Ovis aries: one gene and its partners. The protein of the gene in region 4 interacts with the protein of the main gene of each other region in a biochemical or structural test. Links are inferred from orthologs where the notes say so. Each region holds a gene or a part of one and is shown on either strand. Other genes may lie near its edges.

Region 1 (4,290 bases), on a different chromosome or scaffold from region 4:
GACTGGACAGAAGGGCTTTTCCAAACTGAGCAGAGGGAAAGGGTGCAGATTAAGGGAACTGGGTGAGGAGGCAACTCCCCGCGAGGGGGCCCCCTGCACAACAGATCTTTTACTTGGCGGGTACTAGATCCACTTTGGGAAGGGAGTACAGAATCAGGAGCCGAAAGGCGAGCTGGTAGTCCAGAACCCGCCCCTCCCCCCGCCCCTCCCGGGACTTGGCTTAGCATCTAAAAGAGCCGCTGGTGCGGAGACGCAAGAGCGGACGGGCGGAGGAGCTCCTACGGGCACCCCCACCCTTGACAAGAGGAGACGGGCTCCCCCACGTGACCACCCTTATTCCAGGCCCCAGCAGTGCTGGGCGCGATGTGCTTCGCGGGTAAACACCCGCTCCACCACCCCCAGCTTCCTCGGAACCCGAGGGGCCCCGGCAGACCCAGGACCTAGCGCCCTGGCAGCCCCGCTCCTCCCTGCGCCGAACTCCCAACTCCGCGGGGTGACTCCCAACTGTCTTGGGCTGTGTACAAATTAGAAAGGCGGCAGGGCCACGGGGACACCAGCAGTCCCGCCGGCACGCGCTCACCTAAGGATCCAGGAAAGGTGGGGGAAGAAAGGGAGAGAGGGTTTCACCAGGGCTACATCCGGGCCACCCGCCCGCCACCACCCGGAAGAGAACTGCGGAAGGCGGCGGGGAAAGCCGGAAGTGGCTTCACTCGGGTTAGATGAACAACTGAAGGAGCGGGCGGAAGTACGCGCCGCGCGGGGAGAGACGCCCCCTCCCAGAAGTGACGCGAGCCGTGTGGGGTGACTATGGTGAGAAGAGGGGACATTTGAACGCCTAGACCCTGATCGGACGAGGATGGCCGGAAGTGATCTCGGTTTCCTCCTACAACACTAGAGGCTCTGAGGAGAAAGGGGCGCCCAGGTTCACGATGGAGGAACAAAGTCCCAGCAGGGCCGGTGGGTTCCTGCCCTAGTTTTCTCTTTCCCGGGTTGTCTCCTTTTCCCCACGGCTGGTTCTGCGCCCTTCATCATCTCATTAGAAATCCTGCCTTCCTACTCTTGGCGTCCAGTTGTCCGCCCTTTGCTAGTCCGAGGTGTAGCCTTGCTGTTGTCCCAGAGGTTCTCCTGGGACTTTCCGAACCCAGCTCCTTTTAGGACCCAGGGGAAGTCTAAAATCAGCCGCCTCCTATCCCCTGGCCAAGTTCCTGGTTTCTGAGGTGGGAAGAGTCAAATAGGAGAGGTGGCAGTGGCACCTGTTCCCAGTACCGAGGCCTGAAGTCCCTTGTGCCCTCATCTCAGGTAGGCCTGGGAAAGGGCCGTAGTGGATATCCGCCAACCCCACCCCCAAACAGGACCCCAGCACTACAGTCCTGCCCAGGTTTTGTAATTTGGCCCAAGGGGCAGAGCTGAGGTTGGGAGGTGGGTGGAAGGTCCTTCTTGAAAACTCAAGTTTGAATCCCTCTAGACCAAGACCAAGACAGTGCCCAGAAAGAGCCTGCTGGAACCAGAGGAGGGCAGTGCTGGGGTACTCCGGATCACCAAATGCCCCACTCCTCCTTTCTCCACTCCTAGGGTTTCTTCCCACAGTGGGCTACCATGAAACTGCACCGAAAGTCCGTGCTCCGTTTCTTCCGTGGGTACAGAACACAGGCTCCAGACCGGGAGGGCATCCTGCTAAAGAAGGGGGCCCGAAATACCAGTTATCAGCGCCGCTGGTTCATCCTGCGAGGAAACCTCCTCTTCTACCTGGAACACCAGGCTGACCACACACCCCTGGGTCTCATCCTATTAGAGAACTGCCAGGTGGAGCCACGCCTTGGAGCCACAGAACCTTATGCCTTTACCATTCGGACTCCAGGGGGAGATGGTGGGCGGGCCTACAGGCTGGCAGCAGAAAACCGGGAGGAGCTGAGAGCCTGGCTGTGGGCGTTGGCCGGAGCCACCTGGACGCGGCTGGCTGAGCTGCTACGCCCCCTGGAGGCCCAGTACCGGGAGCTGTGCCAGGCAGCTGGCCAAGAGCCCGGCTCACCCCCAGAGGACTGTGGCTCCCCAGCCACCCCCAGGACCCTCTTCAGCTTCCAGGAGTTGCACGAGCACTTTGGAAAGGAGATCCGGATGCTGCAGGCTGTCCACAGACAGTTCCAGGAGGCCAGTGACAACGGAGGCAGCAGATCCCCAGCAGGTGGAGGTGAAGCAGGAACGCAACAACTGTGTTGATGAGTGACTAATAGACTAAAGACCCAAAGGTATCTGCCAAGTCCAGTCAACAGCTTCCAGAGACACCCAGATCCTTGCTAACTCATCACTCCCTCCCTCCTTGTCCTTACTTTAACCCCACTCATCAAATAACAAGGCAAAAGACAGGCCCAGGTACAACAGCAGGTTCTTTTCCGGTTCCTCAAAGCGGCCGAACAGGGTGGGGGCAGAGACAGAAGAACATGTAAACATTGGGTTCCACCCCCTGGGGCTCAGGGGAAGACCCTTACCCAGGAAGGGGCTGGAGGGTTGGAAGGGACAAAGTGAAAGGCAGGGGCCCTGGTCAGATAAAGCAGGGGAGGCCTGAGAATACAGAGAAAGGTGGGTGAAGAGGAAGGAGAGCAAGGAGGGTGGTGGTGGGAGGTGGGAGACATTTCCTGTTCCAGTGCGTGTCCCCTTAAATAAACTAGAGTGCAAGAACACTGAGGAGGGAGAACCAGAGAACAGAAGATGGAGTGAACACCCCCACCCGGGGCCCACCAGGTCCTCTGTACATAATTACAACACAGAGATGTCCAGAAGGAGAGCAAGAAGAGCCTGGGCCCCCAACCAGGAACTGGGGGAAGACAGGCAGGACTGAAGGGGGTAAAGGAACCCAGCTTCACTTCACGGGTAAGGGGAGTGACTGGAGTGTAAGAATCTGAAAACTGCTGACTCCCACTGCCACAGGTCACCCCTGCGGTGACCAAAGGCCAATCAGGAGAGTGGCACCTGGGAAGGGACCCCAGTTGGGCCGAGCTGGAGGTGAGGTGTCCACTGCTTCCCCAGGGAAATGCAGCTGCCCCCCGTTCTGACTGTCCTGGCCACGTGGGGATCAGCGGCTGGCACGGAGACGGGGAACAAGCCACTTTCCTCAAAAAGAGGGACAGCCTGCCAAGGGCGGGCTGGGAGCAGGACCCCAGGCTAGGTCTGCTCTTGGCTGAGGGAAAAGAGGGGGCCACGTAGTCCAGCCCCAGGGCAGAGGTCAGAAGTACGCATCCTGCCGGGCCTCTGATGCTGAGGACCTGTCCCCGCCGTCCTGGGGGGCAGGCGGTCCATCTGCCTTTCGATGGAGTGAGAGCTTCCTGCCCTGGGCCTTCTTCTCCTGCTTCTGCCGCTCCTTCTCCTGTTTCTGCTGCTCCTTCTCCTGCTTCTGCCGCTCCTTCTCCTGCTTCTCCCGTTCTTTTTCCTGTTTCTGCCGCTCCTTCTCGCGTTCCTTTTCCTGTTTCTGCCGCTCCTTCTCCTGCCTCCGGGCCTCCTTGCCGCTAGGGGCCAGAGGGGCGCTGTTGCCAGTAGGCGAAGGAAGGGATGGACGCAGTCCCTCGGCGGTGACCACGGGCCCTGGGGCAGGCCCCGCGCTGGCCCTGCGGACGGGAGGGGGTGGGGAGGGGACCCCTCCACCTGCCCGGGAGCCCCGGCTCTTGAGGCCAGGGAGGCTGAGGAGGCTGGAGGAGGGGCCCAGGGGGGGCAGCTGCCGCCGGCGCTCCTCGTGGATGGCCCGGGAACCGTGTAGTCTCCGTGAGGGCCGATACTGCAGCTCGCCCCGGGTTTCCAGCCACTTCTTGAGCTGGGCTGCGTTCTCTCGCTCAATCAGTGCTTCTGTCACTTGGAGGTTGGTCACCTAGATGGAGAAGACATGGGTACCAGGGTGAAGTGGGGTGGGGATCTACTGAAGCGGGTGTGAGGTACGCTAAGGCCAGGACCTACCTCGTGCACCAGGAAGTCCTCCTGCATGCACTGCTGAGGCAAGTTCCGCAGCTGCTCCATGGTCTCATACATGCCTTGGCAGGAGCGCAGCTTTTCCACCGAGCCCAGCGTGTGCCGCAGCAGCACCAGGGCCACCCGGAAGATGATCTTGACGCCTGCAGGCCCGAAGAGAAGAGGCCATGGGTGATCAGCCTGGGGGGTCTCAGCCTGGCCCGTGCAGGGGGTACTCACAGCCCCCATCCCTGTGTATTGTTGACCCGACAGATGAGGAAATGGAGGCCTTGAGAAGAAAATGAGCCACCATGGGTTTTAGGTTCCTGGGAGGCAAAGCAAGCTGTGGCTGGTGGC
Region 2 (3,500 bases), on a different chromosome or scaffold from region 4:
GGTCACCAGAGGCAGTGGGTAGGAGGAGGGAAAATTGGATGAAGGTGGTCGAGAGGTACAAACTCTCAGTTATAAGATAAGTAAGGGGACTTCCCTGGTGCTCTAGGTGTAAGACTCCATGCTCCAGATGCAGGGGGCCTGAGTTCCATCCCCAGTCAGGGAACTAGATCCCACAGGCCACAACCAAGAGTTCTCATGCCACAGCTAAGACCTGGCACAGCTTAAGAAATAAATAAAATATTTTTTCAAAAAGATAAGTTAAGTTCTAGGAATATAATGTACAATATGATTGATAGAATTAAAACTGCTCATGTTATATGTGGAAGTTGTTAAGAGAGTATGTCTTCAGAGTTCTCATTACACAGAACCAAAGTTTTTTCTATTTATTTAATTTTATATTTATATGAAATGAGGGATGTTCACTAAATGTATGGGATAATCATTTCATCCTGTATGTAAGTCACATCATTATATTGTACACCTTGTGTGTGCTCAGTTGCTCAGTCATGTCCGACTCTTTGTGACCCCATGGTCTGTAGCCTGCTAGGCTCCTCTTGCCTGGGATTCTCCAGGCAAGAATACTGGAGTGGGTTGCCATGCCCTCTTACAAGGGATCAAACTCGCATCTCCTGCCTCTCCTGCACTGCAGGTGGATTTTTTCCCTACTGAGCCATCTCAGAAGCATTATGTCAATTATAACTCAGGAGAAAAAAAGTGAAGTCTGCTAATATCAAGCACTTTTAATGGGTCTGAGAGGGATATTCTCACACACCCAAAATGGGAGTGAGGTCATTTTGGAGGGTCTCTAGGCAGCGTGATTGAAATTTAAGGTGCACAGTCCTCTGACCTAGCAGCTACAAGACTCCACATCTACCCAGAGGAACATTCCCATGAGAACGAAGGAGGCACATCAAAATGGTAAATTGAGCCCTGCTTAGAACAGAGAAGAAAGCTCAGAAAAAATCTAACAGTCCATCAGAAGAGAAATGGCTGCATTGTGATATATCCACTTTCTGGAACATGACACAGTGCTGAAAACATGAGCTACACCTAGCATTACCGACATCAAAGGAGCTTACATGAAGACAGATAAGCTATGTCTGTCCCCCTTCATATTCATACGTTGACGTTCTCACCCCCAGTATCTCAGACTGTGACTGTATTTGGAGATAGCATCTTTAAGGAGGTTATTAAGATATTGACCAAATAAGGTGGGCCCTAAGCCAATATGAGTAGTGTTCTTGTAAGAAGAGGAAATTAGGATATGGATAAAGATGCATGAAGGGAAAACCTAGTGAAGACACAGAGAGAAGATGGGCATCTACAAGCCAAGGAGAGAGGCCTCAGAAGGCAACAACCTGCAGACACCTTAATCTTGGACTTGTTGCCCCCATACTGCGAGAGAATAACGTTCTATTGTTTAAGACAGTGGTCCCCAACCTTTTTGGCACCAGGGACCGATTTCATGGAATACAGTTTTTCTATGGACCAGGGTGGCAGGAGGGGATGGTTTCAGAATGATTCAGGCATGTTACATTTATTTTGCATTTTATTTCTATTATTACATTGTGATATATAGGGTCTTCCCAGGTGTAACTAGTGATAAAGAATCTGCTTGCCAATGCAGGAGATTCAAGAAATGCAGATTCGATCCCTGGGTTGGGAAGATCCCCTGGAAGAGGAAATGACAACCCACCCCAGTATTCTTGCCTGGAGAATCCCATGGACAAAAGAGCCTGGTGGACTACAGTCGATGAGGCCGCAGAGAGATGGACACAACAGAGCAACTGAACATGCTACCTTATAGTATATATGATGAAGTAATTATATAACTCACCATAATACAAAACCAGAGGGAACTCTGAGCTTGTTTTCCTGCAGATAGATGGTCCCATCCAGGGATGATGGGAGAGCAATAGGGATCAGCTGTAAATACAGATGAAATTTCATTCTCTTGCCTGGTGTTAACTTCCTGCTATGTGGCCCGGTTCCCAACAGGCCACAGGCCAGTATTTTGGCCATGAACTAGTATTGGACCAGTACTGGGTTAGGGACCCCTGATTTAAGGTACCTAGTCCATTTTAGACTGTGGTACTTTGTCACAGCAGCCCTATTGAACTAGACCACACAATACACAATATTAGATATTTTCTCTGGGTGTATATAGCTATGTGTAATGTATGGAAAAGAGAATGGAAGGGTTCACCCCAGTCCAACCCCTCCTTTGGGGAGGCATAGAGATTGAGATTGGGGACTAGGGGTTGAAAAGGTAAAATAAGGCTTTACTGATTATAATAACAAAGTACTTGCACATTATTTGTATATCAATTTTAAAAGCCCTCACTCATGGTCTTCTATTGACTACAGCATACAATTTACTTCCCCACCTGCAACCAGCCATCTGTAGAACTTCATTCCCACTCTCACTCCTGAACCTTTCACACCAATTTGCCACACCAGACTATCCCACCCCTCCACAGTCTCCACACCTCTGTCTGTCTTGTCTTTCCCCCTCTGTAAGCCTGGGCTGCTGATTCTCATCCTTCAGAGCTCAGCTCAGCTGTTGCTCACAGTAGAAATAGGTTGCTAGAAGTCTTACTTGGCAGATTTTTCCCAAGGCCCTCTTCTCTCTTTTTTTTTTTTTTCCTTTTATGTCTTTATTCATTTTCATACTCCCAGTTCCCGATCAGTGCCTGTGGCCAAGTAAATGCTCAATAAATGGTTCCAAATACGCTGATGATAGCAACATTTTCTAGCAGGTTGCTTTTTCCTCCAATGTGTCTCAAAGGTCCCACATTTCATTCTGTGTGAATTAACAGACTCCCTTGAGACCAAAACCATAATCATGACATGACCGAGGGCCAAGCCTTCTACTGCTTCTTTCATACAATGGGGATGACAGTATTTCTGAGCTAGCCAAGCCGCATTTACTTTCAATTTTGGTGAAATCAACTGAGAATGTATTGCAATTTATTTTATTCAAGTTCTGTGCCCATAAAGGTCTTCAATTACTTAACTCACAATGCATGCATGCTCAGTCACGTCTGACTCTCTGCGACAACATGGACTGTAGCCTGCCAGGCTCCTCTGACCATAGGATTTTCCAGGCAAAACACTGGGGTGGGTTGACATTCCCTTCTCCTGGGGTTCTTCCTGACCCAAGGATCGAAACTGAGTCTCCTGCACTGCAGGCAGATTCTTTATCATCTGAGCTACCAGGGTTACCTGAAATAGCCCCTATATAAAAAAATGCCTCTTGAGCTCTAACTGGAAGGCTCTGCTAACCCAGACCTTACCTCTTCATTGGCTTGGGTGAGCACTCTCTCTCCAGATTGGAGGATGTGTGTTTCACGTGCATTGCATTATAGGAAGTGTGAGTGTAGTCATTTTCATCGCTGTAGTCAGGACCGAGCAACGTCCGGGCCCATGTTCCCATGTCATAAGGAGGAAGAGTGCCTCCAAATTCAGATGGCAAAAATTCAGGATGTATTAGCTGGTGG
Region 3 (3,998 bases), on a different chromosome or scaffold from region 4:
CTCCAATGCATGAAAGTGAAAAGTGAAAGGGAAGTCGCTCAGTCATGTCCAACTCTTAGGGACCCCATGGACTGTGGCCTACCAGGCTCCTCCATCCATGGGATTTTCCAGGCGAGAGTGCTGGAGTGGGGGGCCATTGTGTGCCACTTCTAATTACCCTCCCTGCCTTCCCCCCATCTCCCTGCGGCCCTGGGACCCAATGCTCTTAGTTTTATTCCTGCTTCCTTGGCTGTTCCTCCCCTCTGAGGACTGCGTCCTCTTTCTAACCACCGTGTCCCCCTCAGGGCTCTCTTCAACTGCCACCTATATGCTAGGGACACCCAAACACAGCCTGACTCCTTCCTGAGCCCCCAACCCTTGTATGCCACGTAGCAGATGAACACTGGCTGGAGAAGCCGTGCGACTTGTGTGGGCTTCGAGCTGTCTCACTAACTGTGTCCAGCAGACCCTGGCCAGCTGGCCGCGTAATGCCGCTGCGGAGCACGCTTTGTCACCTCGAAGGCGGGGGTGGGGTGGGAGTTCTCTGAGATGCTCCAGGGTCACTCAGGCGAACACTTATAAAGCCCTGTACAAACTAACCTGCTTTATTACAAGGATAACAGACGCTAGCCTGTCTGGAGAGAGATCTCTGTGAAGCTCCGGGCGGGTGACGATGCTGTCTGGGGATCCGGCTCCAGGGCCCCGCGCCGGGACCGGGAAGCGGCCCAGGGGCCAGGCGAGCGGTGCTGTCTTACCTGCGGGGGCAGCTCTAGGTGGTGGGTGACACCCGGGAGTCTGGGTCCAGTGCCGCCAGATCTGACTTTTTTCTACAGAAGCTACCAATCTTGGTTTCTGAAATTGAGCTTTTCAGTTCTTTAGTGGGAACCAACTCAAAAAGATGGACATTGCTAGCGCCCTGGCGCTCCGCGCACACAGCCCGCTGCTCCCGCCGCGCAACCAGGCCCCGGGAGCGCCAGCTTCCGCGGAAACGGCCACGCGGGACGGTTGGGCGCCAGGCCGGGGGCGAGCCCTGCGAGGGTCGTCCGCCGCAGCCAGCAGGCGCGCGACCCGGAAGTCCGCCCGAGGCCCGCAGGCGCGCGACCCGGAAGTCCGCTGAGGCCGCGGCGCCGCGCACGCGCGGCCCCGGCGCGGCGGAAGTGCGGCGCCGGCGCTCTTCCGGGCGGGTCGCGCCCCCCGCGCCTGCGTCGCGGCGTCGGGCGGAAGCTGGTGCGGCTCGCGAGCGGCGGTTGCCGAGCGGACCCGGACGCGCGCGGACCCCGAGCCCTCGGGCCGGCGCCCGCCGCGGGCCGCCGCCATGTCGCTGCTGCAGTCCGCGCTCGACTTCCTGGCGGGCCCGGGCTCCCTGGGGGGCGCGGCCGCCCGCGACCAGACGGACTTCGTGGGGCAGACGGTGGAGATGGGCGAGCTGCGGCTGCGGGTGCGCCGGGTCCTGGCCGAAGGTGAGGGCGGCCGCGGCCGGTCGGGCGGCGACTGCGGGGGACGAGGCCGGCCGCGGGTCGGGCACTTCCGTGAGGGAGGCTCGGGGCCAGGCCGGGCCCTGGCGGCCGTGCCGGCGGGTGCGGGCCACCCCCGGCCCGGGCGGAGGCTGGCCCGGCGGGCGGGACTCCACGCGGCTGGAGGCTGGAGTCTGCAGGCGGGCGGTGCGGCGGGGGCAGGCGAAGCCGTGGCCCCTCTCGCTCCGAGGGCCACGGCGGGGGGCGGACGCAGGGCCGGCCGCCTGGCTGACAGGGGCTCGGGCGTGGGTGGCCGTGGCCCTGGCCTCCGCAGGTGCGGGGGCACGCGGTGCGGCGCCCGCTAGCCGCGCTGCCTCCTTGCCCCTGAGCGTCCCTTTCCCCGACCTGCGTCTGAGTCCCCAGGCGAGTTTCCGCAGGACGAGCCAACAGGTGTGACCGCTGCGGACCTTGCTTGGCAGGCCGGGCAGGGCCGTCTTTGGTACTTCCGCGTGCCCTCTCTGGCTTCCTGAATGCCCTCTTTACTTCACGCAGAGTTGCTCACCCCTGTTGGCGCAGCCCTTTTGCTCCTTTGTCTGGCCCGGCAGATTCCCCTAGCCGTGGCACTTGGCAGCTGAAGGCGTGGCTTTGGGGCCGCTGCTGAAGCCTGAGGTACCCCCCTGATTTCGCACTCTTGCTGCCAGCTGTGCTCAGTTTGAGCTGGGCAGCGCTGACTGTTCTGGGGCCCTCCTTCCTAAAGTCCTCAGGTGGTGCTAAGGCCAGAGCACCACCACACATTTTTTCTCCACTGTCAGAAACATTTTGGGTGTGACTGGGTGACAAGCCTCAGGCTCTTTCCGAAGTGGAGGCCAGTGTATCTAGTAATGAGAAGTGTCCCCCGCTCCTCCGCCCCCCACCGCCCCATCAGTTCGTTTATTCTGAAAATACCAGGCACGTGTTTTGATTCTTTAAGGAATCACAGTGCACAGGACGTGGTTTCTGCTTTGTGGAAGTTCAGGTGAGACACAGGCGCTCTGATGACTGGAGGTCAGCAAAGTGCAGGGGGTCCCCTGGTGGGTGGACAGTGGGCCCAGCTGCAGGGCTGGAGGAGGAGGGGGGCTGGAGGGGGTTGGGGAGGCGGCTCCGGGAGACAGGAAGCTCCTGCCAGTGGCTTCACCCGAGGATGAAGACCAGCGAGAGCAAGTGCCCGCCCTGGCTGTGCAGACCTGCTCCTTCGTTCCCCCAGGACGTCAGGAGCCGTCGATTTCCTGCCCGTAAACTGAAGTGGTAGCCTAGGGCTTGCGGAGCTCGTGCGGCTGCTTCTGAACTGGGCCAGTAGGAGACCTTTGGAAGTCCCTCACGTAAAATAGCAGCTTGAGGGCGTGGGCTGTGGGCTTCTGTGAACACGGGGAAGGGCAGCTCAAAACTCCTGGGCACCTATGTGGACAGTTGCAGAATTTTTCAGGTTTTAGAAAGGTAGAGTGTAGCCTGTGGGTCGTGGGATACACCACTGAGAGTTGGGAAACAGTCACGTCATCAAATGTACTAATATTTAATACTCCTGTAATTAAGTAAGTATCCTCATTGTGGGGCAATTAGGTCTTCAAATAGCCCCGTGTCAGGTCATGTCAGGGTTGCCCCAGCTGAGCTTCTCGCCAGGTTTTGCTCTCAGATGATTCTCCAGGCAAGAGCGCTGGAGTGGGTAGCCCTTGCCTTCTCCAGGGGATCTTCTTGACCCAGGGATCAAACCCAGGCCTCCCACATTGCGGGCAGGCACTTTATCCTCTGAGCCACCAGGTAAGCTGGTGTATAACTAGGTCTCCAGATAGCCCCGTGTCAGGCCATGTCAGGGTTGCCCCAGCTGAGCTTCTCGCCAGGTTTTGCTCTCAAACGATTTAGGGAGAAAGCGTCGGTTTTCATAACTTTTTGCAGTTTATAGCCTGAAATGGGTTGTTGGGTAGAACTATGGAGCTAGATAGCTTTTCAGAGTTTGTTCTAAATTTTCACTTTTTAAGAACAAGCGGGCTTCCCTGGTGGCTCAGACGGTAAAGAATCTGCCCCCAGTGCAGGAGACCCAGGTTAGAGCCCTGGGTCGGGAAATCCCCTGGAGGAGGGCGTGGCAGTCCACTCCAGTGCTCTTGCCTGGAGAATTCCGTGACAGAGGAGCCTGGTGAGCTGTAGCCCTTGGGGTCGCAAAGGGTCGTACGCGACAGAGCGACTGACCCGCTGGCATCCCGCGGCGGCAGGGGCGTCCCTGGGGCCTGTCCTGACTGCAGGAGGGCATGGGGGCGGGTGTGTTGGAGGAGAGGACTGGGCCCTCTTCTGCAGGGCCCCGCCGCCTGGTGCCTGGGGGGCTTGTCGGGGGCCATGGGGCTGTGGCGGCCCCTGTGGACCCCCCTTTCCACGTGGGAAGCGTAGGTGAGCCCTGAGCCCCACGGCTCACCGGTCTTGTAGTTCTGGTGTCTTCTCGCTTGAGCGTTGAGGTCTTGTCAACCCTCTGTCTTTGCCCTTGACCCTGGAGCTGGAGGCCTGAGTGCGGAGACCGTTCTCTGCCAGGGAGGGTTCCTA
Region 4 (3,500 bases):
CAAGTTAAAGTTCTATGCCAGTGGTTCTCAAGCTTGACTGGACAGTGAAATCAATCACCTGGAGAGCTTTAAAAAATATGATCCCTGTGTGCCATACCCACAGATTCTGACTTGTTGGTCTGTGTCTATTAAGAGCTCCCCAGGGGAGTTCAGTCACAGCCTGAATGGCAAAACCATGGTTCTTCTGGGCATTATCCCTGAGCAACAGCATATTCAAGGTCAGTGTCTGGATAAGCAGACTCTGAGTCCCGGTCCACAGCCACAGAGCCAGGGAATGTGGACGTTGGTAAGACTGAAACCACTGCTCCTCATGGGATAGTCTGTCCAAGACAGCTAGGTGCTGATCTGGCATTCACAGAATGACTCAAGCGGGTCTGTGGCCCACAGGAGAGGAGGCAGCCACGCTGTCCCAGTGTCCGGACCCTAAGCCAGCAGTTCTGCTGCAGGAAAGGGTCTTCAGTCAGGCTCCTCCAGCAAAGGGTGTCTCCCTCCCCCCACTCCCACCAGGGCATAGCCGCAGGGGCTTGGCCTGCAAGCAAATAGTGCCCTATGCAGAAAACGCAACTACCTGGAGGTCCATCTCAGCCAAGCTGATCAGCATCCGTGCTATAAACCTCTGCCAGAAGCCAACCGGAACGAAGCTCATCTTAAACACTCTCTGAATGGTGTTGGCTGTGGGGTGCCGCATGCCGTGGGTGTCCAGGCCGGGTTTGGACGGAAGCAGATGCGGCAGGAGGTAGCTGAAACACCAAAGAGGGCTGCTGAGCCAAGGCCTGAGCTCTGCTCTGGGGCTCTCACCCCTGCAGGCAGTCTGGCCTGGGGCGGGATCTGCCAAAGCAGCGCAGGTTGCCCGATGCCTTCCTCCCAGGGCCTTTGGAACCATTTTTAGAAAGAGGGGGTAGTTTATATGGTGAGCATAAATACTCCAAGAGAAAACGAAGATGGGCATAGCGAATCAGTTTGTCGAAGTCTCTAAGATAGAGACTAGAACACGGCGAGGGAAGACGTGAAAACATCTGTGGTCATAAACACAGACACAACAAATCACAGTCGGTTCTCTGTAAACCGGGTTGCGATTGGGGAGTTACTTAAAATTAACTTCGGATGGTGAAGGAAAAACAAATACAGCTGCACAGTTCCAAGGACAAGATATCGGGGGTCAGAGAAATGTCTTTGGCCTGAGAAGCTATTTATTGTTCTTGGCCAGTTGAGATAACACAATTACCTTGAAATTTCGAATGAGGCTCTTTGTGCAAAAGAATGATGTTTTATAAGAGCAGTCTTACTCATAAAAGGACTGAACTGCAGTGTCAGTGAGCTGTTCATGACTGTGATCACTTTTAATAAGCTGAAACGAGGGAGGTCCCTCCAATAATTCCCTGAAAACCAGCATCTTCTGTGTGTCCTGGAGGAGCTAAGATGGCCTTGGGCAGAGCCTTGGGTGTGTCCTTAAAGGCTTGCTTTCAGTTCTCTTAATCCTTTAAAATTCCATTAGTGTAGGTCCTATAAAATGTTTTTAGGACTTTCTGAAAGAAACCCCTGAAAACACTATGGAAGGAAAATTCAAAGACAGCCTGGGGGTGGAGTCCCCAGGGTGTCTTCAGCACACGGCCTAATCTCATTGCCATTCTGCTTCCTTAATGGCAGAAGAGTGGGGATGCCAGCCTTGCAGGGTTAGAGAAGAACGGACAGTGGCTGTGTAGGTGAGGTCCAAGGGGACAGATGGTGGCGTTTCGGTCCTTTTCAGCCATTATAGGTCTTGGCCCAAAGGACCTTGCCAATGAGCCCAGCTGGAGTGCCTCTCTCCACAGCCAGGAATTCTCTGGCACATGCCTTTTAGTTCTGAGAAGTCCTTTATCTCTCTGACCTCAAACAGGAGGCCCTTGTCAGTGCCCAGTGAGATCTAGCCTGCTTCTTCTGCCTATGCCATGCTCAGCTTGGGCACATGGGACCCCCTCCGTGGCTGTGCCCTGGGACTTCCCAATTTTTTCCATCTGGCCAGCGTGCCCGAGGGAGGGGGCACACTCTGTACCCAGGTGCCCCAGCACGTGGCACACACAGCAGGTGTTCAATATTTTTGAAGGTACGGATGACTTAAAAGCCAGAATGGCAAGTGAAGAGGTTTAAACTGATGGGCAAAGGAAGCCCCTCTCAATGTGAGCAGAGCCCTGGGCGAAACCACCAGCACTGGCTTTAGAGCGACCACTAACAGGGCAGGGCTGCCAAAGGTGTGGGCTTGGGGAACTAAGAGGGGAGTTCTTCACGTGCCTGCTGACTAGAAAGCCATGAAGACCTGGGCACTGCACGGGGTTTGCACTACGGCGGAGCCAGTCCATGATACGTCCCTGAGGCTGTCTTAGCAGTTGGGCCAGAGCCTTCCCCGAGTGCTGAGAGCCAGTGCATCCCCGCCTGGAAGAAGTACAAACACTCGAAAGTGTAGAGAGAGGTTTAGAAAGGCCCTGAAGGTTTTCCCAGGGACTGCAGGTTGAAAGGAGCAGCAAATGCCTTTGTTTTTGTTGATCATATAAAAGCTTATGGTGCAAAGAGCTGAAACTCCTTGTCTCTGGGGTACAAGGGACCCATTATATCTACACTTAGAGGTAGGTATAGTGCTCAGACACTCCTGACTTTAGATGGAACTAGACACCACTGACTATGAGTACTTAACGCAAAGATAGTAACAATAACAGCATTGATGATCCTGGATGTCCCTGAAGCTCAAAGGTGCAGGAGATACGTTTCATAGTTCACACGTACCCTCTGATTTAATCCTCACATTGACTATAATACTAGTAAGTGATAGTATTATTTCTATTTTACATATGAGGAAAAAAAGAGGCAGTTGCTTTTACAGAGTGAGAGTATTTCCGCATTCCTCTAACCTGCTGATAGAATAATCAGAAAACTGTCAAATTCCGGCAATGCTGTAAACTCACAGGCTGCTTTACCAGGGGCCAAAGTCAAGGACACACCTGGGCCAGGATGGGAGGGGTCATGTGGATTCTGAATTCCCCTTTGGGGTTTCTCTTTTTAGGACTCACTCTTGGTCCCCATGGGGCTGAAGCAGGAAGGACTGAGGCCCCTCCCACAGTCATTAGGCCAAGTGGATATATGGGTGGGAGCTCAGGAAGCGATGGCCCAGAGTTGGCTCCCAAGAGACCCAGACTGTGCTGATGGAATTGTTTGGCTGGCCATAGAGTGGCCAGGCCAGCCCCCGGAGGGTCCCGAGGGTGTTCCCCCAGAGCTCTGGGGTTGAGGGGCCGGGTGGTGCTGTGTTCTATGACAGGCATCAAAAGGGTCTGGGGATTTGGCATCCTGGCCACTGCCTCATGGCCAACATCAGCATCAGACCCAGGAAACAGCTGAGACTGAAGTAGAGAAAGGAGGCCCTGAGAACCAAGCCAGAGTGCCGTTAGACTGAACCCACATGCCCCTCGAGTCCCTGCCCTCCCTGCATTTTGAAACTGGGCTGGATAGTTAGCATGCACACTTTTGTACCT
Region 5 (4,295 bases), on a different chromosome or scaffold from region 4:
GTTGATACCCCTAAAGTAGCTTATTTTATTTCTGTATAAGTTAAGATTTAGGGGTCACAAAAGAAAACCCAATGATTATGATAAAAGCGAAGTAATCAAATGGCAGAAAAACTTTCAAATAATATCACATGGTAAATCTGAGAATAACTTCCAAAATAATAGTATTCCATAAGACTGACTGCTGAGTTTTCCAAGTTTGCTGGCATATTGAGTGCAGCACTTTCACAACATCATCTCTCAGGATTTGAAATAGCTCAGCTGGAATTCCATCACCTCCACTAGCTTTGGTCATAGTGATGCTTCCTAAAGACCCCCTGACTTTGCATTCCAGTATGTCTGGCTCTAGATGAGTGATCACACATTGTGGGTATCTGGGTCATAAGATCTTTTTTGTAGGAGAAGGGGATGACAGTAGGTTAGATGGTTGGATGACATCACTGACTCAATGGACATGAGTTTGAGTTAGCTTCAGGATATGATGAAGGACAGGGAAGCCTGGGGTGCTGCAGTCCATGGGGTTGCAAAAAGCTGGATACAACTGAGCGACTGAACAAGAACAACAAATAAGACTAACAAACTAAGGTTTCATCCCAGAGTGAAAATAAAACAGCTATAAAATAATACAGTAAGCAAGCTCTTTTGAATGCAGAAACCATCTTACCTAGTGTAATATGAATAGCATGTAGCTCCTGAATGCATATTAATTTTTAGGATGCATAGTAACTACTGTAGAAAGGTATAGATCTCCTTCCAGAAGCTCATAATGGTAGGAAATAAACCAGATGGTTTCCACAGGATTCCTGTGATTTTGGTAAATAACAAACTCTGCTTGAAGGCTACCATGTCTCATTTCCAAGCATTTGGAGGAGGAGGGAATGGGGAATAGACTTTTTTTTCCTGGGGTGAGAGAAAGTGTTCTGAAATGTTATAATGGTTACACAATCTGTGAGTGTTCAAAAAATCACTGATTTATGCACTTTAAAAAGTATAGATTTTATGGTGTGTGAATTATAGCTCAGTAAAAAACTTTTTTTTAAAGAATATCATGATTTTAGTTGACATTAAAATATAAACCCTTCTTAAAATATTATCTTGCAAAAGAGCCATAAATATTTTATCACTATAGGGGCTTCCCTGGTAGCTCAGTGGTAAAGAAACTGCCTGCAATGCAAGAGACTGCATTTGATCCCGGGTTGAGAAGATCCTCTGGAGAAGGGAATGGCAACCCACTCCAGTATTCCTGCCTGGAGAATTCCATGGACAGAGGAACCTGGTGGGCTACAATCCATGGGGTCCCAAAGAGTCAGACACGACTGGGTGACTAATACACATGTAGGTAAATAAGTCTCAGAAATAACATTGTTTTTGTGGTCTATAGCACAATGTATAGCACAGATTTAGCCTATTAAGCAATTCCTTTCTGCAAATATTTTTCATCAGGGAGGACTCTAAATATTTATTTGGCTTTCTTCAATTAAATCATGAACATTTGTAGGCAATTTGTAACAGTGACAAGAATTTTTTGAAAATTCTGAATTTGCAATACAAAAATTACCTCTGGCTCTTGTCTCTCTTTATATCTGGGATCCAGTAATTACTGTCAATGGAACCCTCATATTCATGGATGGCAATGCTTCAATTCTTGTTAGGAATTTCAATCTTAGATAAGAACAATATTCTATGAGGTTATTAAGACTGTTTTTAAAAAACCCTCCAGTTTAATCTGGTGGCAGCATATTTACTTTTCAGTGGACTTGTAGTGACTTCAGCATACAAATACACACAAACACACACACACACACACACACACACACACTCTTCCCTCCCCCCCCCAAATTTCCAAAGATCATTGAGATTCAGAGCAGTTTGAAAAATTAATCCCACAATTTCCCACACATTAAAATTGCATCCTCCCAAATTGACTAAAACAATTTATTTTTATTACTCTAAGAATATTTTTGTGGTTATTTCACACTCACTATTTTCCTGGAGCACAGAAGTCAAAATATCTATTGCACTTCTCATTTATAACTTAAAGATATATTAATTTGAGTGTGAAATTACCTCTTCCCAGAGACAAAAATATAAAATACAGAAAAATATTACATTAAACCTGTGGATAAATGAACATACATATGTGTCATTTCTTAACATATATGTTAAGAAAAAAAGATATATCTTTTATACATATAAACATAAGAGGCTTACCTTTATCTCATTATGTTTAAATAATAGTAACAGTCATAGAAAGTATACAGTTGTCAACTAATATAATAGGTGTACTCCTGTCTCTCCGTGGTCATCTGGCTTTAAAAAGCCAAACAAACACTTAATTGCAGATACAGAAAAAGACTATAACAGCATTTCTCTAAATAGATGGAGAGGATGTGACATTTTAGACATGAGCTAGGAAGTCCTCTGGCTTTTTCCAAGTCAGATGTTGGGGCGGGCAGTTGAAGGGAAACACTCAGGGAAGGGAAGAAATTAAGACCCTCAATCAAGAGGGAGAGACTTTCCACTCAACCCTGCCTCTCACCCAGTATCCACCAGCCAAGATGCCCAGGACTGCCAAGGAGACAGAGGCTGGCGCTGTCCGCGGTGCTGAACGGCCAGCCGCGCCCACTCACCTGCAACCACCGTGGCTCCCAGAAAGCCGAGAAGGGCGGCCGGCTGCATGGCCTGGCTCGTCCAAATCTGCGCGGAGAAGAGGATAGCAGTCGGAACGGTGAATGACAAGGGGATGGAAGGCGAGATGAAGATGCTCCGGGAAAACAGCCTTGTATCCTGGTCCCCGCGGTGTGGGGCGGTTGGCGCAGGCCCTGCTCTTTTAAAGGGCAAGCCAGGGCCGCAAGGCTGGGAGGGGCTGGCACCCAGGAGGCGGCGCCCCCTCGCTTAGCTCTGACGTCATGAAACGGCCTTCAGGGGCGGTGGCGCACGTAGGTAGAAATTTACGCCAGTGCAGTCGCCTCAGTGCTCCGAGTCTTCAGCGCGAGTGGGGAGTTAGGCAGAAAGGGTGGAAGGATGAGGGGAGGTAGCTCAAATCGAAGTCCAGAGGGGAGAGGAGGGAGTCCTGCTTAGATTGTCGAAATATATTTCTCTTCTTCCCCGCAACCCGCCTTCCCCAACCCCTCCAAACCCCCCAACCCCCAACCCCAGCCGCCAACCTCCGTATCTAGAAACGTGTTTGAGGCTGTATGAAAGTGTTAGTCGCTTCAGTCGTGTCCAACTCTTTGCGACCCCATGGACTGTAGCCCCGCCAGGCTCCTCTGTCCATGGAATTCACCAGGCAAGAATACTGAAGTGGGTTGCTGGTTCCTTCTCCAGGAGATCTTCCCGACCCAGGGATTGAACCCAGGTCTCCCTCATTGCAGGCAGATTCTTTACCATCTGAGCCACCAGGGAGGCTATGTATCTCTTTTCATTATCGTAGTTGGCCGATAGCCAGTTCCTATATTCAGACTTAGTTTTCTTTTCTTCTCATTATTTTATAAACTTTTTATTATTTTTGCTTTTGACATTTAGATTAACATGTACAGGGCAGAGGTGGGGGCCACGGAAGATTTCTTATGAATTCTCTCAAAGCAGGACGACGGAGGAAATCAGCATTTTCTTTATAAACAAGGGCTTTAGAATAAACATCCTGTGAGATAGCGGCATGGTCACTTTTTGTTTGTTTGTTTGTTTTGGCTGAGCAGGAAGCGCAGAGTCTAAGCGCTTAAGTCTATTTTCTATGTCTGTTTCTCCATTGTTGCCCTGTAAGTAAATTCTTCAGTACTATTTTTCTAGATTCCTTATATATGTGCTAGAATACGGTATTTATCTTTCTCTTTCTGACTCACTTCACTCTGTATAATAGATTCTAGGAAGGAGAGGGTGAGATGTATGGAAAGAGTAACAAGGAAATTTACATCACCATATGTAAAATAGATACCCAATAGGAATTTGCTGTATGTCTCAGGAAACTCAAATAGGGGCTCTGTATCTACCTAGAGGGGTGGGATGGGGAGGGAGATGGGAGGGAGCTTCAAAAGGGAGGGGATATATGTATACCTATGGGTGATTCATGTTGAGATTTCACAGAAAACAGCAAAATTCTGTAAAGCAATTATCCTTCAATAAAAAATATCAACACCTAATTTTTCTGGGAATTTGTTTTTTTCGTTTTACTGAAATGACCATATTTCCCACCTGCTGTGTAGTTTAACTTTGGAAAAAACCTAGAATTCATATGTGCATGTTAATGGGCATGTTTCTGGACTCCTCTAGAATATCAATCCGTCCCATTTCAGTGGTCT
Region 6 (4,143 bases), on a different chromosome or scaffold from region 4:
CACCAAGAGCTTAGGTCTTAAACATGACAGTAGGGACTATAACAACAGTGGCAGGCAAGTAAGTCCTTGACAAATACCTGCCGAATGAGTTAACAAAAGTATTGATTTTATTATGGAAACTGTAGCCTCAGGAAACTTAGGATACAGTTTACACATGCTAGAAATAAAAATGGAAGAATTTCATAGACAGAAACCATGGGGCCTTAAAAAGTCTGGCTGCTGTAAATAGTCAAAAACTCCTTAATCTGAATTGAAATAACAGTTGCTAAATATCCCCTAGCTCTTTCTAAAACAGAGGCATAATAAGATGAAATTGGTATCAACTTCATTATCATCTCTAATCCAATCCAATATAATCTAATCCAATCAATCCAATCCAATCTAATCTTTCAAGAAACTGCTATAGCTCTCACCCCACATTTAAAAGCAAACAAACAAAAATAATAATCCATTCCTATTACCACATGAAAGAAAAACTACTGTCAACATAATGTTATGAGAGATGTCTAAGGTAGTATTGGTACCTCGGGTTGGCCGATCTCTGTTTTTTTCTCTTGCAGCAGCTCTCTCTCTCTCCTCCAACTCTCTCCTGAAGTCACGGTTTCGAACTTCTTCAGGGGCATCCTGAGTGGTCTGTCTAAAGTAGAAACAAGACAAGGCAAAGTTACTTCTAAAAAACACACGGCTGTAGTAATGGAAGACAATTCAAGAAACACAACTTCAGCCTGAGTCCTAAAGCAGAAAACTCCACTAGGGGATAAACAAAATCATCAGTCTAATCCAAAAGTTACTAAGAGGCATCCTGTGATGTCTAAAACCTCACACTAAATCAACATACTTTTAAGAACCTCAAACTAAATCAACAACCTTTAAGAACCTCAAACTAAATCAACATACTTTCCCATAGTAAGGCAGCAGGTTGATCAAAACGCTTATACTTTTTGTTAGTATGCTAACTCAGGGCTTGTTACAGCAACACTTTTAATCTCATACTGATTTGTATTGATAGTGCTTGCTCCTCCTGACAGAATGTATTATTAGTCATTGTTCAATCTACATATAGAAATTCCTGGTTAACTGGAATTTCTGCTTAAGGAATATCTGGTAGCACTTTAAAATCATGGAGCATAATTCTGGGTGTCTGAAACACTACTACATTCTACTCCTATGAAAACAGATAACTTGAGTGATAGTAACCCCAACATGCTACCTCATGACCACATCATTTAACAGACTTGGTCTTGCTTGTGAAACAAAAACTAAAAGGCTTCATTACCTATATTTTATCTTTGTATGAGAGGGTAGGTCTCTGCTTGAATACTGCTTTGAGAGTTGGCTCAAATCACCCTCACCTTTTCCTCTTCCACCTCTTGCAGGTTCAAAAGTTGGCCGAGCTGCTGTTGTCATCTTTTATGCTTTGAAGAAAAACACTGTCAAGTTATTTTCAATATGACAAACTCTCATTTTGAAAAGCATTAATCTATAGCCATCCTTGTGAAATAATTTCCCTAGCTCATTCCCTCAAACATCTGTGACCCCTGGCAAGCCACCAAGTTTAAGTTTCTGTCATCTGTGAAATGGGGATATTCCTCAAAAGGTTATTAAATCAGGAGACGTGACATATCAAAACCTTTATAAAATACAGTACAGCCATGTCTGAATTTAAAACATCTCCACTCAACCTCACGCCACCGGACTCCTTACTCCCATTTCATCTAAACCTCACACAGCAGAACAGGCTAACAACTACAAAAGCAAAGACATCTTAAAAAAAAAATCACTGACAAAGTTACTGAGTGTTCTAGTAAAAAAAGTGTGTTAAGCTTCAATGACAGTTACATAGGCAAATATCTCCAACAATCTTTTGTTGATCAAATTTCCTCCAGTAGCAGCCAACATAATATAAATTAGATCTTTTCCAAGTTACAATTTAAGAAATGCTGGAAACACAAGAGCCCACCCTCAAAGGACTGTAATAACCAAAAATTAGGGACCCGTTTGTGGTTACTGAAACATCCTCAAGCGTCAGAGAAGCAAGTGTCAGGGAAAAACTGGGGGAAATGATATACTTCTCTAGATTTTCCGGGGAAAAAAAAAGGGAGAGGGATGTATCCAGAGAGACAGAAACAGGGTTTCAGGTCTCTGGGGAGCATCGCCGCCTCCCCCCCAAAACAGTCATCCCTGGGGCGGGGAGTTCACCTCCGGGCTGTCGCAGGGAACTCGCTGACTCTTCACCCCTATCCCAGGGGGCGAGGGGCGGCCCTCTGCCGAGATGCCTTGGCGCTGCGCTCTCGGGAGCCGATCGGAGACCAGGGACACGCTCGCTAGGCGCGGAGCCCCACCACCAGTTCGCAGCTCCACCGCCTCCTCCGCATTTACGGGCTCTCTGACTCCGCCCCCAGCTTCCCCTTCCGGCCCCACCGACAGATGGCTCTCCGGTCTGCAGCTCCTGGGCCTCCGCGGCCTAAACCCGGTTAGCTGACTCCGCCCCCAGCTGCCCCTTCCGGCCCCGCCCACAGGCCGCTTTCCCCGTCAGGCCCCTGTGGGGACCGCTCAGTCAGCACTGGATTCTCTGCCTCCGCCCCCAACTACCCCTTTCCGGCCCCACCCACACTAGGCTTTCCTCGTCTGGCGCCTCCAGGGCCCGCACCGAGTTCTCTGCCTCCGCCGCCAACTGCCCCTTACGGTCCAACCCACAGTCTGCTTTCCTCTTGCCGCTCACTTTGGCCGAACTCCAACGCCGCTACCTCCGGAGATCATACAGACGCCATCTTGACTCTCCGCTCCCAGAAACCTCTGCACCCGCGGCCCAAAAAAAAAAAAAAAAAAAATCCCAAGACCCGGAAGCAAACCCCAAGCTCGTCAGGCGCCCGCGGAGGCAAGGACCAGTCAGCGGAGACCAAGGTGGAAGTCGAAGTGACGACGCACGGGGCGGGGCTTAAACGGCCCAGGGGGCGGGCATTTGAAATCAGTGCTTTAGAGTAGACCCTGAACGTTGTTGTGTAGCTTCGAGAGTCAATTAATGTGTGTTCCGTCTTTTCCTTTTCCGACCCCCTCCCAGATTCCTTCATTCCGGTACTGCGTAAACGAAGAGCCCCGAGTAGCCGACACCAAGTCCCCGGCTAGCGAGAGAGCATAGAAAAGGATTACACCAAACTGTTTAAATCCAACGGCTCCTGCTTCCTTACTCCTGAGCTAGACCCAACAAGCCTAGAGAGTTGGGCTACGGAAAGTAGTATTTGCATTTAATTGGATATGAAGAAAGAACAAATATGTACGGGGGCAACCACGATCTTTATAAAGGTACCATTCCTGCAAAAATATTAGTCTTCACAACGAAGGTTGTATTCGTAACGTTCGTTAAAATATTTACTTTTTATAAAAGCCTAAGTTCTAGTGGGAGGGGAGGTGTCACTGTCGAGATTCATTTATATACTAACAGACATTGAACGTTTAGAACGGTGGCCCAACTGCCAGGAGCCCTAGATGCAGTTACTATTGTAAGATGGCTACTCATGCGTTAGGGAAAGTTTTCATAAGGTAACGAACAGGAAAATTAAAAAATCACCAATCGTCCTAACTCCTTCCCCCACCAAAAGCCCTCTGGGAGCATGGATTTTGTTTGCCTTTCCAGTTCAACTTGGTATCTAATCACATAATCCTTGGCCACAGTAGATGCTCAGTAGATATTTGTTAAACAAATGAAAATTGAACTCCCCCCACCTTAGTTTCAAATGTAAAGAGCTCATAACATCGAACAGAAAAAAGCTTTCCCCACCAACGCCCCCAGAACTCCTTGAACGTTAAATGAAACAAAGCATAGAAAAAGTCCCTTCCCTCATAAAATTCAAATTGCTAATCTTGATTTTTCTTACCAAAGGTATTAATTACTCTCCTAATCTGCCACATCTCAGTAAAGGACACTACTACCATCAGGCTAGTTACTCAAACCAGAATCCCAGCGCTCCTCTTAAATCCCTTTCCCTTCACTTTTCTCATCTAGTTTACTTGCAAGTCTTCCCAATTCTACTTTCAGCATATACCCCAAATTTCATTCCACTGCCTTAGTCCAAGCCAGCATCATTTTCTACCTGGATTGTAATTGTCCCCTAATGATCTTCTTGCTCCCACTTTTCTCCCACA
Region 7 (4,143 bases), on a different chromosome or scaffold from region 4:
TAAACATTAGTGTCCTCCATGGCTGAAAATGCCAAATCTATTTCATTTTAGTAGATGAATCACGTTTTAGAAAGAGAAAATGTTACATGATATGAGTGTGAGATTTTTTAACTAGAGTTAATTTTTAAAATCTTCTTCAATCTTGATACAATCTTCAAGAGGACACTTTCCACAGAACTTAGCTAATAAAGTATAACTGATGTTTAAAAAGCCTCTTATAATTCAGAAACAATTTTATATGGGTTATTTCATGCACCACTCAGAAGAATCTTGAGGTAGGAACTCCACTGTCAAACAACTAAACAGAATCAGAGAAAGAGCTCATTGGAAGAATCAGGATTAGAACCCTGACCTTCTGAATCCAGTTCTGTGTGCACAAGCTCAATACAAGATTTTAATAACCCACAGAAGATTCTTTAGAGTTACCAGAAAGAAGCTTATTAGAACACACACTTCTGCTGTCATATCAAAATTTTAAATACTACTTTTCTAACACTAAAAATAATATCTAAATTATTACACAAAAGACGCTCAGTTGGACAAAGAACATTATCAGGTAATGACTATAGTTTATCAAATTTGTTTTTATTAAATAACTGTAACAACAACAAAAAGCCCTGTCTCGGTCTTCTGGCAATGATTAACACATTCAAGAACTCAGGGACACTTGATAACAACACAGATGTTTTAGAACAATTTACAGAAAGATAAAGATAAGTCCCGTGTTACTACTGTCTTCAAAGTAATGAGCTTCCAGTTACTTAACAATCCGTAAGGTTTTTGCCACAAACTTAAGAAAAATGTAAAGCAAAAAAAAAAAAAAAAATCTAAACTCCACATTCTTCACACAAAACTAGAAAATTTTCAATAAAGCTGTAAGTTAGACAAAATTAAAGGCTGAAATTAAAGTTTTCATTTATCCATTGTGTTTCACAGAAGCATACAAGCAGAAGCATCAATTTCCAAGACATTCCCAAAAAGATCCTCACTTTCCCACCCTACTTCCCCTAAAACAATCTATTTCCTGAAATATACCTCATAAACCACTTCGACTTTTTTTTGAAGTTTAGGCCATATGTTAACTAGAAAAGTACCTGTATTCACTTCAGGTCTACAATCACTGCTAACTAGCCACTTAAAATCAGCTAAAAGCACTCAACCACAATGATGCAAAAATGAGGGAAAACAGCAAAATGTCATTTATTTTTACACTCTTAGCTACTTACACTCTTAACTACTTTTCCTTTCTCATTACTACAACAGAAAAACCAACCAAAATAAAATTCAAAGACGCCTGCTAAGATATTAAGGAGTTTAATAAATCTATAAAAAAGGGAAGTTAAGAGCATATGGTGGTGGCAGTTTAGTCGCTAAATTGTGTCCAACTCTTGCAACCCCATGAACTGTAGACTTCCAGGCTCCTCTGTCCATAGGATTTTCCAGGCAAGAATACTGGAGTGGGTTGCCATTTCCTTCTCCAAGGGATCTTCCGGGGCCGGGAATTGAACCAGCATCTCCTGCATTGGCAAGCGGATTCTTCACCACTGAGCCGCCAGGAAAGCTCAAAGGCATAAATACCAATAAGTAAATTTACAACATATCTATAATGATCCTTTAAAAAGTGAGTGGTGAGTTCCTAAAAAGCCTTACGTTAGCAAGAATGCCAAAAGTCTAATTTAACAAGGAAAATGCAGGGAGAAACAGGCGGTGACATTCCCCCCCCCCCCCCCCCCCCCCGAGGAAGGTGCATTTTTAGTCATTTTACTTCTCTGCCAGTATCTCACAACTGCTAGCTACGCAGTCAGTTCTCACTAGGGCCAGGGGAGACAGGCGATTTTGACTTCCGAAGGCAGTTCCGAAGCTCTTGTAAAGCAAACAAACCAAAAAAGCCTCCCCGCATACACCGCAGCATCAAATAGACAAATGCAGCAGACACAGCACACGTAACACAGAAAGGGGGCTCCCTCCCTGCCTTTGTTTTCCCCGGGAGATTTCATTTAAACTAAACAAGCGACCCTATACCCAACCTGAGGCGCGCCGAAGTTCTCGCAGGGCCGGGGCGGCGGGCACGTGGCCGCCTCCCAGCAGCCCCTCCCGCTGTGGCCCGGCCCGCTTCTCCGCCGCGCAGGCCCGGGCTCCTGCAGCCCCCAGGCCAGGCCGACCCCCGCGTGGTGCTGGACGCGGGCGGGCGGCCGGACCCGGGCAACGCCGGGCCGCATCTTCAGCGCGGGCCCCCAAGGAGGCCAGGAGGGCGGGGAGGGCGCATACCTTCCTCACAGGATTTCAGTCGGGCCAGAAACCCGCCTCCCGACGGCCCATCCCCAGAGGAAAATGAAAAGTCGGCCTTCTGGTGGGCGAGCAGCCCCTCGACGGCGAGAGCCCCGCGCGCCCCGCTAAGCCTGGAGGGGGTCCAAGAGGGGGCGGGCCCGCGCCGCCACGCTCCCAGCCGAGGCCAGAGGAGAGCATCGGGGCCGGTTCTCCGCAGCCCAGGGCGTTGGGGCGGACGCGGCTCGGCCGGCCGAGCTCCGAGGAGGCGGCGGACGCCGGCCCCGCCGGCCCGACCCGGCCTCGGCCGCGGCCTCCACGACCCCACGACCCCCCGCCCCCCTCCCCCAACGAGCGGCTGCCTCTGAAGATAGGGGCTGTGGGAGAGGGCACAGTCCTCCCGAGCGCGCGGGCCGGGCCGCCGCTACTGACCCCTCAGGCCGCCGCCGTCGCCGCCGCTGTTGCTCGCCCAGGTCCCTGGTCAGCCGGCCCCGACCCCGCACCTCAGCGTCTGTCGCTGCCTCCGAGCGTCTCTGGCCCCTCTCGCTCTGTTTGTTTTTGTTTTGTTCTACCCAGTAACACGGGGGCGACAGGGCGCCGTTTATTGGCCAATCCGAGGAGGTCTTCTGGCCAATCGTAGCGATGGAGCTGGCGCTGCGGAGGGAAAAGGAGGGAAGTGAAACGTGGAAAGCTGGGCAAGGGCGCGGGAGGACGCATGCGCATCATGCTTTGGGGCCTGGCTGGTGGGGAGCCGAGTAGAGTGGCCGGGGAGGTTGAGGGGGGGGCGGGGAGGTTGAGGGGGGGGCGGGGAGGTTGAGGGGGGGGCGGGGAGGTTGAGGGGGGGCGGGGAGGTTGAGGGGGGGGCGGGGAGGTTGAGGGGGGGGCGGGGAGGTTGGGGGGGGCGGGGAGGTTGGGGGGGGCGGGGAGGTTGAGGCGGGGGCGGGGAGGTTGAGGCGGGGGCGGGGAGGTTGAGGCGAGGCGGGGCGGGGAGGTTGGGGGGAGGTTGCTGCTGGGAGGCCCGGCTGGAGGGAAGCGAGGACGGAAAGGAAAGGCCTCAGATTGCAGGCACCCATCCTCCTTCCACGCCGGTCAGCACCCTCGGCTGAAGCAAAGGCTTTGGGCTTCCTGAGGGTCCCGGCCTCCATTTCCCGACGCTCCTCAGGGGAATACTCTTAACTTCTCTAATTCCTTCTCCCGCTGGCCCCTGCTTACTCTTTAGCTCCTACTGTGTGCAAACCCCATGCTAAGAATCTTAGTGAATGCTCTCAATCCTTTGAGGTAGAAATCACTCACATTTCATAGATGAGGAAACAGACTCAAAAACTCTTGAAGTCCCTTTGCTAAATGTGACTACTCGGGTTCCTGGGATTCAAACTCACACGTTTCAGGCTCCAAGGTTGAGGTTTTCAACCATGGCTATAATTTCATTATTGAAACTTTGGCCTCCGGGGGCTGTTCCTGCATCATTTCCTCCTGTCTAGGTTCTCTTTGGCTAGTGTTTTCCTCACATCCTCCCTAGCTTCCCTGTTACCTGAGACAACCACCAGAACTTTCTGCGGTCTCTTATCCTCTCGGGAGAGGACTCAGCCAGGATCTGCGGCCAGATTTTCCAATTATCTGATGTGCAACACCTCAAGGGTGTCCATAGCGTCTTTGGAACCAAATTGCATCCTCCCCTACCAGCAAGCTCCTTCTCCTAGCTTACCTCTTTCTGCCAGTCACCCTGCCTGGAAATCATTTGTAACACACACAATACAAAAACATTTTTCACAGCTTCCGGCTACCTGCTTGGAGCATCACCTCAGCCAGGGGCGTTCATGGCCCCTTGGCTGTGACGTCAAGACTTTCTAGTCATGTCTCTCCACACCACTCCCAGTC

What was found.
Region 1: the proteins of LRRK1 (region 4) and CD2BP2 form a complex in vitro, tested with the Homo sapiens proteins (2 studies listed by BioGRID and IntAct, with this or other methods). The link is inferred for Ovis aries from reciprocal best matches to the Homo sapiens genes LRRK1 and CD2BP2.
Region 2: the proteins of LRRK1 (region 4) and CLVS1 form a complex in vitro, tested with the Homo sapiens proteins (2 studies listed by BioGRID and IntAct, with this or other methods). The link is inferred for Ovis aries from reciprocal best matches to the Homo sapiens genes LRRK1 and CLVS1.
Region 3: the proteins of LRRK1 (region 4) and GAK form a complex in vitro, tested with the Homo sapiens proteins (2 studies listed by BioGRID and IntAct, with this or other methods). The link is inferred for Ovis aries from reciprocal best matches to the Homo sapiens genes LRRK1 and GAK.
Region 5: the proteins of LRRK1 (region 4) and CHGB form a complex in vitro, tested with the Homo sapiens proteins (2 studies listed by BioGRID and IntAct, with this or other methods). The link is inferred for Ovis aries from reciprocal best matches to the Homo sapiens genes LRRK1 and CHGB.
Region 6: the proteins of LRRK1 (region 4) and CWC15 form a complex in vitro, tested with the Homo sapiens proteins (2 studies listed by BioGRID and IntAct, with this or other methods). The link is inferred for Ovis aries from reciprocal best matches to the Homo sapiens genes LRRK1 and CWC15.
Region 7: the proteins of LRRK1 (region 4) and PDCD4 form a complex in vitro, tested with the Homo sapiens proteins (2 studies listed by BioGRID and IntAct, with this or other methods). The link is inferred for Ovis aries from reciprocal best matches to the Homo sapiens genes LRRK1 and PDCD4.

The regions. Positions count from the first base shown.
Region 1 is NC_056077.1:27,062,918-27,067,207, forward strand, and holds the start of CD2BP2 (CD2 antigen cytoplasmic tail-binding protein 2), read right to left. Parts: upstream 2,801-4,290; 5' UTR 2,218-2,800; coding exon of another isoform or gene 1,597-2,217; exon of another isoform or gene 1,573-1,596; intron 1,300-1,572; exon of another isoform or gene 1,215-1,299; intron 650-1,214; exon of another isoform or gene 581-649; intron 26-580; 5' UTR 1-25. Other genes in the region: sesquipedalian-1-like, read left to right, coding at 1,597-2,217; TBC1D10B (TBC1 domain family member 10B), read right to left, coding at 3,221-3,856, 3,943-4,097. UniProt on the Homo sapiens protein: Involved in pre-mRNA splicing as component of the U5 snRNP complex that is involved in spliceosome assembly.
Region 2 is NC_056062.1:39,933,182-39,936,681, reverse strand, and holds part of CLVS1 (clavesin-1), read right to left. Parts: coding exon 3,297-3,500; intron 1-3,296.
Region 3 is NC_056059.1:118,113,057-118,117,054, forward strand, and holds the start of GAK (cyclin-G-associated kinase), read left to right. Parts: upstream 1-1,198; 5' UTR 1,199-1,294; coding exon 1,295-1,439; intron 1,440-3,998. UniProt on the Homo sapiens protein: Associates with cyclin G and CDK5. Seems to act as an auxilin homolog that is involved in the uncoating of clathrin-coated vesicles by Hsc70 in non-neuronal cells. Expression oscillates slightly during the cell cycle, peaking at G1.
Region 4 is NC_056071.1:4,897,988-4,901,487, forward strand, and holds part of LRRK1 (leucine-rich repeat serine/threonine-protein kinase 1), read right to left. Parts: intron 741-3,500; coding exon 569-740; intron 1-568.
Region 5 is NC_056066.1:47,754,636-47,758,930, reverse strand, and holds the start of CHGB (secretogranin-1), read right to left. Parts: upstream 2,801-4,295; 5' UTR 2,677-2,800; coding exon 2,628-2,676; intron 1-2,627. UniProt on the Homo sapiens protein: Secretogranin-1 is a neuroendocrine secretory granule protein, which may be the precursor for other biologically active peptides.
Region 6 is NC_056068.1:15,092,383-15,096,525, reverse strand, and holds the start of CWC15 (spliceosome-associated protein CWC15 homolog), read right to left. Parts: upstream 2,801-4,143; 5' UTR 2,651-2,800; exon of another isoform or gene 2,200-2,650; intron 1,431-2,199; 5' UTR 1,408-1,430; coding exon 1,277-1,407; intron 638-1,276; coding exon 525-637; intron 1-524. UniProt on the Homo sapiens protein: Involved in pre-mRNA splicing as component of the spliceosome. Component of the PRP19-CDC5L complex that forms an integral part of the spliceosome and is required for activating pre-mRNA splicing.
Region 7 is NC_056075.1:30,953,258-30,957,400, reverse strand, and holds the start of PDCD4 (programmed cell death protein 4), read right to left. Parts: upstream 2,801-4,143; 5' UTR 2,769-2,800; exon of another isoform or gene 2,698-2,768; intron 2,413-2,697; exon of another isoform or gene 2,269-2,412; intron 2,224-2,268; exon of another isoform or gene 1-2,223. UniProt on the Homo sapiens protein: Inhibits translation initiation and cap-dependent translation. May excert its function by hindering the interaction between EIF4A1 and EIF4G. Inhibits the helicase activity of EIF4A. Modulates the activation of JUN kinase.